2 linked regions of the Mus musculus genome follow. The protein of the gene in region 2 interacts with the protein of the main gene of each other region in a biochemical or structural test. Links are inferred from orthologs where the notes say so. Each region holds a gene or a part of one and is shown on either strand. Other genes may lie near its edges.

What was found.
Region 1: the proteins of Tnks (region 2) and Rnf146 form a complex in vitro, tested with the Homo sapiens proteins (3 studies listed by BioGRID and IntAct, with this or other methods). The link is inferred for Mus musculus from reciprocal best matches to the Homo sapiens genes TNKS and RNF146.

The regions. Positions count from the first base shown.
Region 1 is NC_000076.6:29,359,443-29,363,198, reverse strand, and holds the start of Rnf146 (E3 ubiquitin-protein ligase RNF146), read left to right. Parts: upstream 1-1,495; intron 1,496-1,529; coding exon of another isoform or gene 1,530-1,803; intron 1,804-1,853; 5' UTR 1,854-1,914; intron 1,915-3,756. Other genes in the region: Gm30698 (verprolin-like), read right to left, coding at 690-1,495, 1,530-1,803. UniProt on the Homo sapiens protein: E3 ubiquitin-protein ligase that specifically binds poly-ADP-ribosylated (PARsylated) proteins and mediates their ubiquitination and subsequent degradation. May regulate many important biological processes, such as cell survival and DNA damage response.
Region 2 is NC_000074.6:34,834,731-34,842,349, reverse strand, and holds part of Tnks (poly [ADP-ribose] polymerase tankyrase-1), read left to right. Parts: intron 1-499; coding exon 500-597; intron 598-2,307; coding exon 2,308-2,382; intron 2,383-3,356; coding exon 3,357-3,462; intron 3,463-3,779; coding exon 3,780-3,966; intron 3,967-7,619.

The DNA of each region.
Region 1 (3,756 bases), on a different chromosome or scaffold from region 2:
TTAATCCCCCCAACCCCTTCCCTCAATGGTACTAGGGATTGAACCCAGATCCTCAAGTAAGGTGAATCAGCCTCCTACCGCTAGATCCCTTTGAAATTAAGAATATTTTAACATCTGAAGCCTATGAAATAGACCCACATGCTTGCTCACATCGACTCACCTATTCAATGTCTTATCCCTTTCAACGTACATTGATGTACAACCTTTTCTCTTCAGGCTATAAAAGTTCATATAATATTTCCTATAACAACTGAATGAATAACCCGAACCCATGCTCTGGATTTACAGCTATTAATGTTAAGCAGATGAGCTCTTCCTTTGGATCAGTGGCCTTGAAACCCTATAAATAGGTGCACAGTACATTTTTCAGTCCTGAATTCAAACAGTGGATGTAACCTCAAAATGCAACATTGTTGCAAGCACAATGCAAACAGTTACAGAATGCGGAAATACTTTCAAAGGTGAAAAGGTTCTCTGGTCCATTTTGTGCAACTTCAAGTAGAGAAAACTGTTCTGAAAAAGATCATGTGCCGGTTAAAATGAACAAGGACTAGATTTTGATGTGTAACACCATATGCTTGCCATAAAACTAACCCATGAAATTTATTCTAGATTCGCGGGACGATTTCTTCTTCTAGCTTCCTATGCTGTTAGGGTTTAAAAGACACCCCAGCACACCCCCTCTCCCATTACATATCTGGCCATTTGTGAGGTGAATAAATTGGAGCATCTCGGGGACCATCCAGTCCACGCCGTGACTTTTCTTGTGCCTTTTTTGTATAAGGAACAAGCGGTAGTCTCTCCAAGGGCACGGCCAAAGGAAACATAGGACTTGACCCAAGGCTGAGTTTTGGAAAGGCTCTTCTTCCTGGTACTGAAGGTCTAGCTTCCTCCCACAAGCCACCTAGATGGACCTCCACCAGTTCAGAACCAGGAGGCCACAAGATGCGCCACGCAGAGGGTGAGGGAGGACCGGAACAGGGACAAGGAGCAGCCCGGTCGCAGCAAGGGACAGAGAAGAGCAGCAGCCAGCGTGGGGACCGCCAGCCAGGGCCGCCGCGCGCGGGATCACGGTGAGGGGGCGTGGCTTCCGCCGGCGCGGCCCCGCCCCTTGAGCGCCGGGCGGTCACGTGACGGCCGCGCGCGTCCCCGTCCGCTGCGGGCTCCGAAGCGGAGGAGAAAAGACTGCGAGGTGGCTGCGGCGGCGGCCGAGAGGTGGGCTCCGGGCCGGACCGGTGAGGAGCGCGGGGGGCCGTGGGCTGCGGGCCTCGGCGGGGCACTGCGGCTTCGTTGGCTGCGAGGCGGCGCTCGGAGTCCGCGGCGGGCGGCGGCGGGTCGGGGGCCGGTAGGACGGGGACGCCCTTGGCCAGCGCGGCCCGGACGGGCGCGCGGAGGGAGGCCGAGCTGGCGCAGCCCGGACTGTGACGGGCGCGGCCCCGGCCATTACTGCGCAGGCAGGCCAGGCTGCGGGCAGCTCCAGCGGGCTCGACCGGGCCTCAGTCGGCCACGGGCTGCATGCTATCTTCCGCCTGCCCTGCCGCCGCCGCCGCCGCCGCGGCTGTGCCTCTGGGTCTTGCCCAGTGCCCGGAGTCGTCCCCTCCTCCTCGCGCTGGCGGAAGCCGCCGAGCGTTCTTGTTTTGATGGCTCCCCAAACCCGAAACCAGCCTGAGGTGTCGGGATACCAGTTGGGCCTCCCAAGCCGGGTGCATCTTGAGAGCTCCGGCAGTCGCTTTGTTCTGCTTGCTGGATGTGGAGTTTTCTCCTTAACCCTCCACCCCATCTGAGAGCGCACGGGATCCCCATTGTTGTCACTGTCTTATTTTCTGGACTTTTTTTTTTTTTTTTTTTTAAAGAGAAAGGGCTATGTGACATTGTTTTTGAGGATGTGGAAATGGAACCGTCCTCTATAATTAGGTAAGATGTTTCCCCACTGTAAGTTAGCACACGCATTCTGACAACTACATTTTATCTGTGTATGTGTGTGTGTGTGTGTGTGTGTTCTTTTGCAAACTAGATGTGCACCTGGAGCTTGGGCATTGAAAGGCACGTATTGTCATAGAAGTTGAATGCGTAGAACATAACAATAAATGATCTGTATCATTAGACTTTTAAAGAACATGGCATATTAAAGAACAAATTAAGAAAACGACCCACACATACTAGCAGAGCGTGAAAAGCGTCTGGGAGCTGTAGAAACACTTGAAAATAGGTGAAGTAAATCTCATTTTAGAGAAAACTCAAGAGTAACTGCTACAGTAAAGATGGAGTTTTGGATATGTTTGCTTGGGTCTTGGATATCATAGAGTTTATTTATGTCTTAATTGGGCGTGTGTAATGGGGAAAGAATGAAAACCCTGTTATTAAACGTTTGAAAGTTTCTGTTTTGTGCTGTTTAAGAACTGAGTCGAATTGTAGTCATGGGGAAATGTCCCAAATAACTGTTCATTAGATAACAGGAATGCAAACATAAATGATTTTTTTTTTTTTGTAGGAGACATGCCATTTAGTAAAAGTGCCACTTTGAAACTGTTGGAGGGTTTGTTTTGTTTTATTTTTTGGATCCAACATGATTCCTTGACTTTGAAGAAGAAAATAATAGGAAGAATTTTTCATATCCATCTGTTTAAAACATATTTTCTGTCAGCCATATATGAGTTTGAAGGACTTATCACATTTCCCTATCAGTATGAGAGATGGAAGATCCGAGTCTTTTCTACCTCCTTGCTTGGTTGCCTTCTTGATCACAGAGTCTGAACTTGGGTAACTGCTGGGTGGATTAGAAACAGTCTTTTTGAGCATACACACTGTTTACACTAGTCTACAGCTTCCTTTGCTTCTTTGTATACTCTCATTTACCTTTCTAGTTAGTTAATACAAAGCCTGTTGTTAAAGGCCTGCTAATTAAAATGTTTGGAGTTGTCCAATTACAGAGGCTGGCTAGAGCAAAGTAACAAAAGCATAGGGATAACTTGGCAAAGGTCACTCACCAGTTAATAAGAGGACTTTCTTATTTATAGAATGTCTGCCAGCCTGAAACATCTGTTAGATGAGAATACATGTATTACATATAAATATAAATTGACATTTGTATCTCATGAGTTAATGAAATCAATACAACGCCCACTTTGCAGAGAAGGAATTTAAAGCCTTACACTTAAGTATAAGGACGGAGACAAAAGTAAATAGAGTCACAGGATGGGGCTTCTTAAGGGCAGTCATACACAAGGCAAGAAGATCCCTCAAAAGTATGGAACCCCACTTAACTGAACTGGGTTTTGACAGAACACTTATTTCCAAGCTTAACTTAGACTTTTAAAACTGATTTGATGATGAAGTATAAAAATTGACACATTGTAACAGTTACATACTTGTGAATTTGGGAATCTTTCTTAAGAAGTTTTAAGATGTGTTTGTTAAATCCCATCTGACCCCTACTCATTTTTCTTGTGTTTATAATAGAGACATATGTAAGTAAACAGATACACATAATAAGGTTTGTAGTCCCCCTATTGATATGTTTTCTATATAGTGTATTCTGTTTGAGTAACTCTTATTTCATTACACCTTAACTTTAAATAGGATAAGCAGAAAATGTCCAACTGTATATAATTTGACATTTATATTTTTATTTCTATTGTGATATGTTCATCTTTTTTCTTTGATTCGCCTTTTTTTTTCCTTAAAGAAACAATATTTTATTCAAGTTTATTATCTAGGGACGGTGGATCTTTAAAAAGTTTGGCTGGCTTAAAATTA
Region 2 (7,619 bases):
AAGCAAAGAGAAGGACCATGTATCTATGGAGCTGATAAAAGTACAGGCAGCCAAAATGGAGAGGGTTTGAATTTGACTTTTTTTTTAAACATTTATTTTAGTCAGCCTTATAAATTAACAGATCAGTTATGTCGGTGACCATTTCAAGCCATTCCTGAAAGTTTTAGAGGGTAGTTCTTGTATCGTAGAACTCATTTTATTGTAGTTCAGCATTGTTTCTCTTCTGCGTAGGCATCACTATGTTCATGGTGGAGTTCAGTTCAGTAGGTCCTGAGCCCTGCTGTGTAGAAAGGGTTCATGGGAGGGGAGAAGCCCCTTACCACTTTCTTTCTTCTTGTGCCTTTGGTATATCTGCTTACAGACTGTATATTGGGGTGGAGATTGAAAATAGTGTAGATTGCTCTGAGCTGTCAGCTATTTATAGCCAAGTTTCCCATAAATGTGTGGAAGCCAAGTGATATGGACATGTGCTTTGTATTCTTGTTTTTCTCTTCTACAGGAACCAATCCATATTTGACTTTTCACTGTGTGAATCAGGGAACTATTTTGCTAGATCTTGCTCCAGAAGATAAAGAATATCAATCAGTAGAAGAAGAGGTAACAGACATCAGAACTTTTTTCTTTGCCCAAGTTCTGTTAAGACTGGTCTTTCCAGGGGAAAGAACTCATCTTACTTTGTTTACAGGGTCACGTGGCCTGCTACTCAGCCGGAGGCAGCAGCCAGCCTTTAAATGTGACTGTAGACTAAAACCATACACATTGCATTTACGTCACAAGCCTATGTGCGAATAGCTCCATATTTTTGTTCTATAGATTTTGTCAGTTTTAAGTCATGTAAGTAAGAACCTTTTTAAAGCATTTTCATACAGTAAAATGCACCTAAGATTGATATGGGGCAAGAATCTTGCTTCATAGACAGAAAACACTTTCTAGGGTTTTTGTTGTTTGTTTGTTTGTTTTGGGGGTTGTTTGTTTATGTAATTAGTGTTTTTTAGTAATGTGCCTGATTGTCACATTTTTCTCATGTTGATTACATGATAAAAGAAGAGTCTATCTCAGTTAATTTCCATAATCAGAATTATTCTAAGCATTATATAATAAGACTACTTTGAACCTCCTTGTAGAAAGATGACATAGACATTCTTCCTGTGAGAGCAGGCGGGAGAGATGGCTCAGCAGTCTGCTCTTCCAGAGGTCCTGAGTTCAATTCCTAGCAACCTCATGGTAGCTCACAACCATCTGTAATGGGAGAGGATGCCCTCTTCTGGTGTGTCTGAGGACAGCGACAGTGTACTCACATAAATCTTTTTTAAAAAAGGAAGAAATTTCCCTTGTGCTGATGGCTTATATTTCTTGCCCCTAATGCAATGTCTAACTCCATTATTGTGATTAAGCTCCCTCATTCCATTATTATACAAACACCAAGCAGACATGGGTTTGCCTGCAGTTAAGGATTTCTTTTGTTTGTTTTGTTTATTTTTTTTAACTAGTGCCCATATCATCTCCATTCAATGCTAGGAAGTCACATTTGGGAGCACAGGATGGTTTCAGTTTGCGTTAGGTTATCAGAAAGATGTTATGACTTCTAGGGCCTTATGGTCTGGTTGTCTCCATAGTAAGTTCTGGTCGTGTAAGATACAGGCTACACATCCTTGCAGATGGAGCCATGGGTAGAGAGCTCAGGTGTCAGAAATTTGGGGCATTTTTGTGATGCTGCCTAGAAACCTAAGGTCTCACACATGCTTAGCAGATGTTCTGCCCATAGCCCAAGACACTAAAGGTTTTTCCATAATAATTATTAAAGTTTGAGAGTGGGAGAGTTTGTAGTGCTCAGAAGGTTATTCTGTTCATTGTGAAGTTTACTCAGCTTCCCTTGCCTGAGTTGCTGTATCAAGATTCCAAAGACTACTGAGATAAAATGAAACAAAAATATTTTTAAAATATTTATTTTTAGCATTTATCTAATGTGGTATCAATTGAATATCATTTTAGTTTGATTTATTCAATTTCTTTTCATTCTTAATTACAAAGTAATTATACATTTTTAAAGTGCTATTATTTTTCAGTTTCCCTGTTATGTCTATAAAAAATATCTTTCAAAATTTGTATCAGAAAATGCTTTCATTAGTATTTATGACTATATTCTCAGTACAAATGCTCATTAAATTTGTTAAAATAAGTTTGTAGTGAGCTCCTGATTGAGACTCAGACTCACCAGGGAAACAGATGGAAGAACTATCTAGAGACCGCAGAAGGAATGCTTTCTTCTGGCTCTGATGGAGTTAATTGTTTCCCTTTGCCCTACAGATGCAGAGCACTATTCGAGAGCACAGAGACGGTGGGAACGCTGGCGGCATCTTCAACAGATACAACGTCATTCGAGTAAGCCTGCTGGTTGTTCTGGGGGAATCGGACTGCAAAACTAACACAGTTAAATGAATTCTAGGAATTTGGGAAGAAAAATTCAGATTGTGAAAGACACTTATTCATTGTCCTAAAATCAAATGCTGTTCTCTTCACTACAACCTCTAACATCAAGACCATCCTGGCTAGAAACCACAGCACAGTGAGACAGCAAAGCCCCGAAGGTCTCATAAAGGCCGCTGGGGTCAGCACCACAGCAGCCCCGCCTGTTATCTCCTCAGATTTGGACCCTCAACAGCAGTAACTTCATTTTAAATCACTTGAAAACTGCATTTTTAAAGATCTGGATTGTCAATCTATTTGTTATTGATGAGATCAGAATGCATTTATCTCTTAAATCACAGGAAAAAAAAACTATGTTGCCATTATCTGCTTTTTCAGAGGTTATCTTGAAGGTTAATTACATCTGCTAAAAACTGGTTTAGTCCTTTCTTAATTGACTTACAATAACCCATGAGCGGTTGGTTGGTTGGTTGGTTGGTTGGTTTGGCTTAGTGATAAAATGCATGCTACACAAACTCTAGGGAGCTGAGTTGGAGCCCCCAGCACTCAGGTACAGCCTAGGCACAGTGGTGTGCACCATTGTCTCAACGCTGGGAGATGGAGGTGGGAGACCCTAAAGCTCCACTGGTCAGTTAGTCTAGCCAGCAGCAAGCCTAGGCTCCGTGAGGGACCCATCTCACATAAGGTGCAGAGTAAGAGCAAGACTCTCAGTGTTGGTTCTGGCTTCACATTCATGGGCACACAGAAAGCAGCAAGGAGACACCACATAACTGTGTCACTAGCATATTAACTGAATTCCACTGATAGGGTGACTTAGATAATGTGTCAGTCAAAAACCCAAAATTGATACCACCAAAGGAAAAACTACATGTCCTTTCAAATCAAAATGTACATTTAATTAAGAACAATATTTTTTGTCCTTTATGAAGATTCAGAAAGTTGTGAATAAGAAGCTGAGGGAGCGATTCTGCCACAGACAAAAGGAGGTGTCTGAGGAGAACCACAACCATCACAATGAGCGCATGCTGTTCCACGGTGAGCGCTGCCTGCATCGGGCTGTCAGCAGTGGGGGAAGACTGGGGTCCGTTGTTGACCTTATGTTGGAATGACTTGTTTGCACTTTTTTGGTTGAAATAATGCCTAATTTCCTAATGCTCTGCATGTTAGCACAGGCTTCCCAAAACCTGTGCCATGCCGGTGACTGTCTGAATTTGCTGCTAAACTCCAGTTCCAAGTTGAGCCACCTGCAGTTTTCTGGTTTTTGTTTTTCTTTGTGAACATTACTAGATTTCAGTGAAAATAGTAAATGGCTAAGTGTTGAAAAACTAATGTTTCCACCTTTATATTTTTAGGTTCTCCTTTCATTAATGCAATTATTCATAAAGGGTTTGATGAGCGACATGCGTACATTGGAGGGATGTTTGGAGCTGGAATTTACTTTGCTGAAAACTCCTCAAAAAGCAATCAGTATGTTTATGGAATTGGAGGAGGAACAGGCTGTCCCACACACAAAGACAGATCATGTTATATATGTCACAGGTGAGCGTCCTGCCTTGACTGCAATGGTTGTCACCCTCAACTAACCTTTGACTATAGCGCTGGGTGCAGTGGTCCAGACTAGATACATATGCGCTCTCTAGGTGGCAGTGGAACTGCATTTCAGTCTCCGTCAGGTGCAGAGACCTCTTAGTGCTCACAGTAGACGGAGCCCTTCTAGCCACTGTCATACATGAACATACAGGGTCAAGGTAGGAGACTAGACTCAAGTCTCATTGCCGATGCGGCTAGTGGTGTGTTTGATTTAAGGGCCATAATAATTCCCCTTGGAAAGCCCAGCCTCAGAATATCAGCTTGGGAATTGGTAGCAAACAGATGAATATCAGCTTTTTAAAGTAGGACTTTGTAATCTCGAAGCTGGAAAAGATGATCATGGCAGCGCGTGAGAAGGCGGTGTTTCTCTTCTCACTGGAGAGCAAGAAGATCGGGATTTAGTGTGGTTTGCAGTCATACACATGCATACTGTATCCAACCCTGAGCCCCCTATACTTACCCCTAATCCCGCCAATGCTTTCCCCTCCCCCTTCATGTCCTTGTGAGTTTTGGAGAGTCTCTCATTTGAGCTGCTGGAATGTGCATGAGTGTGGGTGACTTTCCATACCTGTACCCCTAAAGAAAAATAAACTTCCTCTCCTGACAGCCCTCACTCACCAGGAGCTCCTCCGCTTAGGGGTGCAGCCTTATGCTCCCGACCATGCTGGAGTACGGATGGGCTTGATCTAGTGCAGGTGACCATAGCTGCTGTGACTTCATGACTCTGGTGGCCATGCTATCCTAAGGCCACATGTCACAGCTCCACCCTATCTGCTTGCTCTTCTCTTCTTTCCACCCCGTCCTCCACAATGCTCCTTGAGCCTTGGAGAAGGTTGATGGCAAATGTCCCATTCAGAGCTGAGCACACACAGTTGCTTCTTCTCAGGACTCTGACCAGTTCTATACTGCCTCGACTGCTGCCTCCTACAAATAGCTTCTCTAAGATGGAGAGCAGTGCTGTAGACAGGTATACTCGTAAATAGCTCCATGGCAGTTTTGTACCATGGTCATTTACCAAAGCAACAATAATATATCACCTCCCCTGAGGGGGAGCAGGCAGCCCTTACCGACCATGAGTATTTGACAAGTTTTAGTGCCATACATTGCTGTTTAAGCCACTCAATTGTATGTTTTCATAAGTTATGTGAATAAGGTATCTTATGATTCAGCTAATAACTTAAAATGTAATCTTAAAATCCCTTATAACGAATGCCTTTACATTTATCTGCAGTTGCATTATTCTTTATCTGGTCATCCCAGTTCTAAGATGGATGCCATACGGTCAGAAGGAAACTGTTCTCCACTTAGATCGCTGTGGTTAGAAATTCCTAAGGATAGCGATGCCCCAGCATGCCTCCCATGGAGACAAAGTAAACCTAAAATGAACAACAAAGTGAACTTAGCTGAGGATTAATGGGCGCTCAGTAAAATTAGACACAAGTTTATGTCCTAGCCAGGGTCTCCTAGAAATGGAGCCTGAGCAAACGCCTGCAGCTGGCACGCCATTGGCAAGGGTTGTCCCTGGGAAGCAGGAAGGAGGCAGAGCGCACTCAGCGGTGAGCCCGGGGAGCACGCTGTCCATGGCTGCATTATCAAGTGCATGAGATGCCTTCAGAGACGCTATAGAAACTGCTGTGTCAGAGCAGCAATGCTCCAGGGGAGGAAGGAGTAGATTTCTGTGGCTCCTCCTTGTGTGGGCCAACATTTGCTCCCCAGGTGCTCATCCCTGTGTTTCTTAGTTGTTGCATCTACAAAATACCACAAGCAGGAAGCAAGGCAGCATCTGCACCTGCTCGCTCGCTCGCTTCTTCTTGTGCTGACTGGAGACCAAGGCCTGTCAGGTCAAGTATTGTATAACAGATGGACAGTGACAAAATCTACTTACTGACAGCAGACTGCTGCCATGACAGTAAAGGTGGGCCTGAGGAAGCCTCCTTTGGGGGCTGCAGAGGTGGCTCTGCAGGTAAGAGCACTGTTGCTCTTGCAGTCAGTCTGGGGTCAGTTCCCGCATTCTCATGGTGGCAAACGTCCATCTGTAACTCCAGGTACACGTGTCAGGGAATGCCACTGTCCCTCCTGGCCTTTCTGGGTACTAAGCACATACATACATACATACATACATGTAGGCAGAACAGTCATACAATAGAAAATAAAATAAATAAAGGCTATTCATAATGTAGAGTGAGACCTATCTTTTCCCTACAAGAAAATACACTAGATAGCAAGCCTTTATCCCAAAGGGTCACCAGTGACACCCAGCTAAAAAAGCCAGCGAGGCAGGACTCAGTAATAACACAAAGCTCATACTCCATTACTACAAACTGTTTATATTTAACAGTGTGACTCATTGTACTAAATAGCTAAAATGTGTAGTGTTTCAGGGTTGACTTTTTTTAAAGGAATGGATAATAATTACCTTGGACTTTGCAGCCATGTATCCTTGTCAGAGACTTCTGCCTTTAGAGTGCAGAAGCAACTGTGGAAATGAATGCATGGCTTTAATCAGGAAAATTATATTTAGAAAACCAGGTGCCAGCTGGGCATGGTGGCATACACCTTTAATTCCAGCACTCAGAAGGCAGAGGCAGGGGGATCTCTGTGAGTCTGAGGCCAGGTTGGTCTACAGAGTGAATTCCAGAACAGCCAGAATTACACAGAAAACCTTCTCTTGAAAAACCAAAACCAGAAAAATAAAAGAAAAAACAGGTACCAAGTATTTTTAAACTGGTGGCTATAGTTTATAATTTCCATCTTGCCAGTTTTTCTTATCCTGTACAACATTTAACATCTGCTGCAATTTCAGTTAGGTATTAGATTTTCAGTCATATATTTAAGCTACATATTTTTGTTCCTGGTTCACTTTTCGTATTACTCTGCCATCCCAGTTTTTACTATTTACCCATGATGAGTCAAGCCTAGTCTTATCTGGAGAGATGGCTTAGGGTAAAAACTTTTGCCACACAAGCATGATGGCCTAAGTTTGAGTCCCCATAATCTATATAAACGCCAGGTGCATAGCATGAGTGGTTTGTGAGCCTTAAACTTGCCCAGAGTCCCTGCAAAGCTCTCGGGCCGACCAGTCTGGTTATACACGGGCAGGATCATCAAAGAAGCTCTGTCTCTAACAAGGTAGAAGGCACAGCCAGCATGTGAGACTGTCCTCCTCCCCTTGAGCATGCCACACTTGCGCACACACACACACACATACACACACACACACACACACACACACACACACACACATACACATACACATAGCTTCCTCCCTCTGAGCATGCCACACACACACAGCTCACAGTGTCAATCTCAGGCTCTGTTGCTATCACCTCCCTTTATGCTTGTGTGTCCGTGTAAAAGCTCAGCTCTCAGCAGGGTCTGTTTGTACTTGGCACAGTTCACACCAGGTATTTTCTATGACAGAGTTCCAGGCTACTCCAAAACTGCCTTAAACTGTTGATCTAACTTGATATTGAATTGCTAAATAGTAAACCAGTATATCACATTTAATTCCATTACTACACACAGACTTGAAAGTAGCATTTCAATTAACTTGCATTCTATGAAATTTTCTATAAAAAGCTAATAAACCTAACAGTTACATT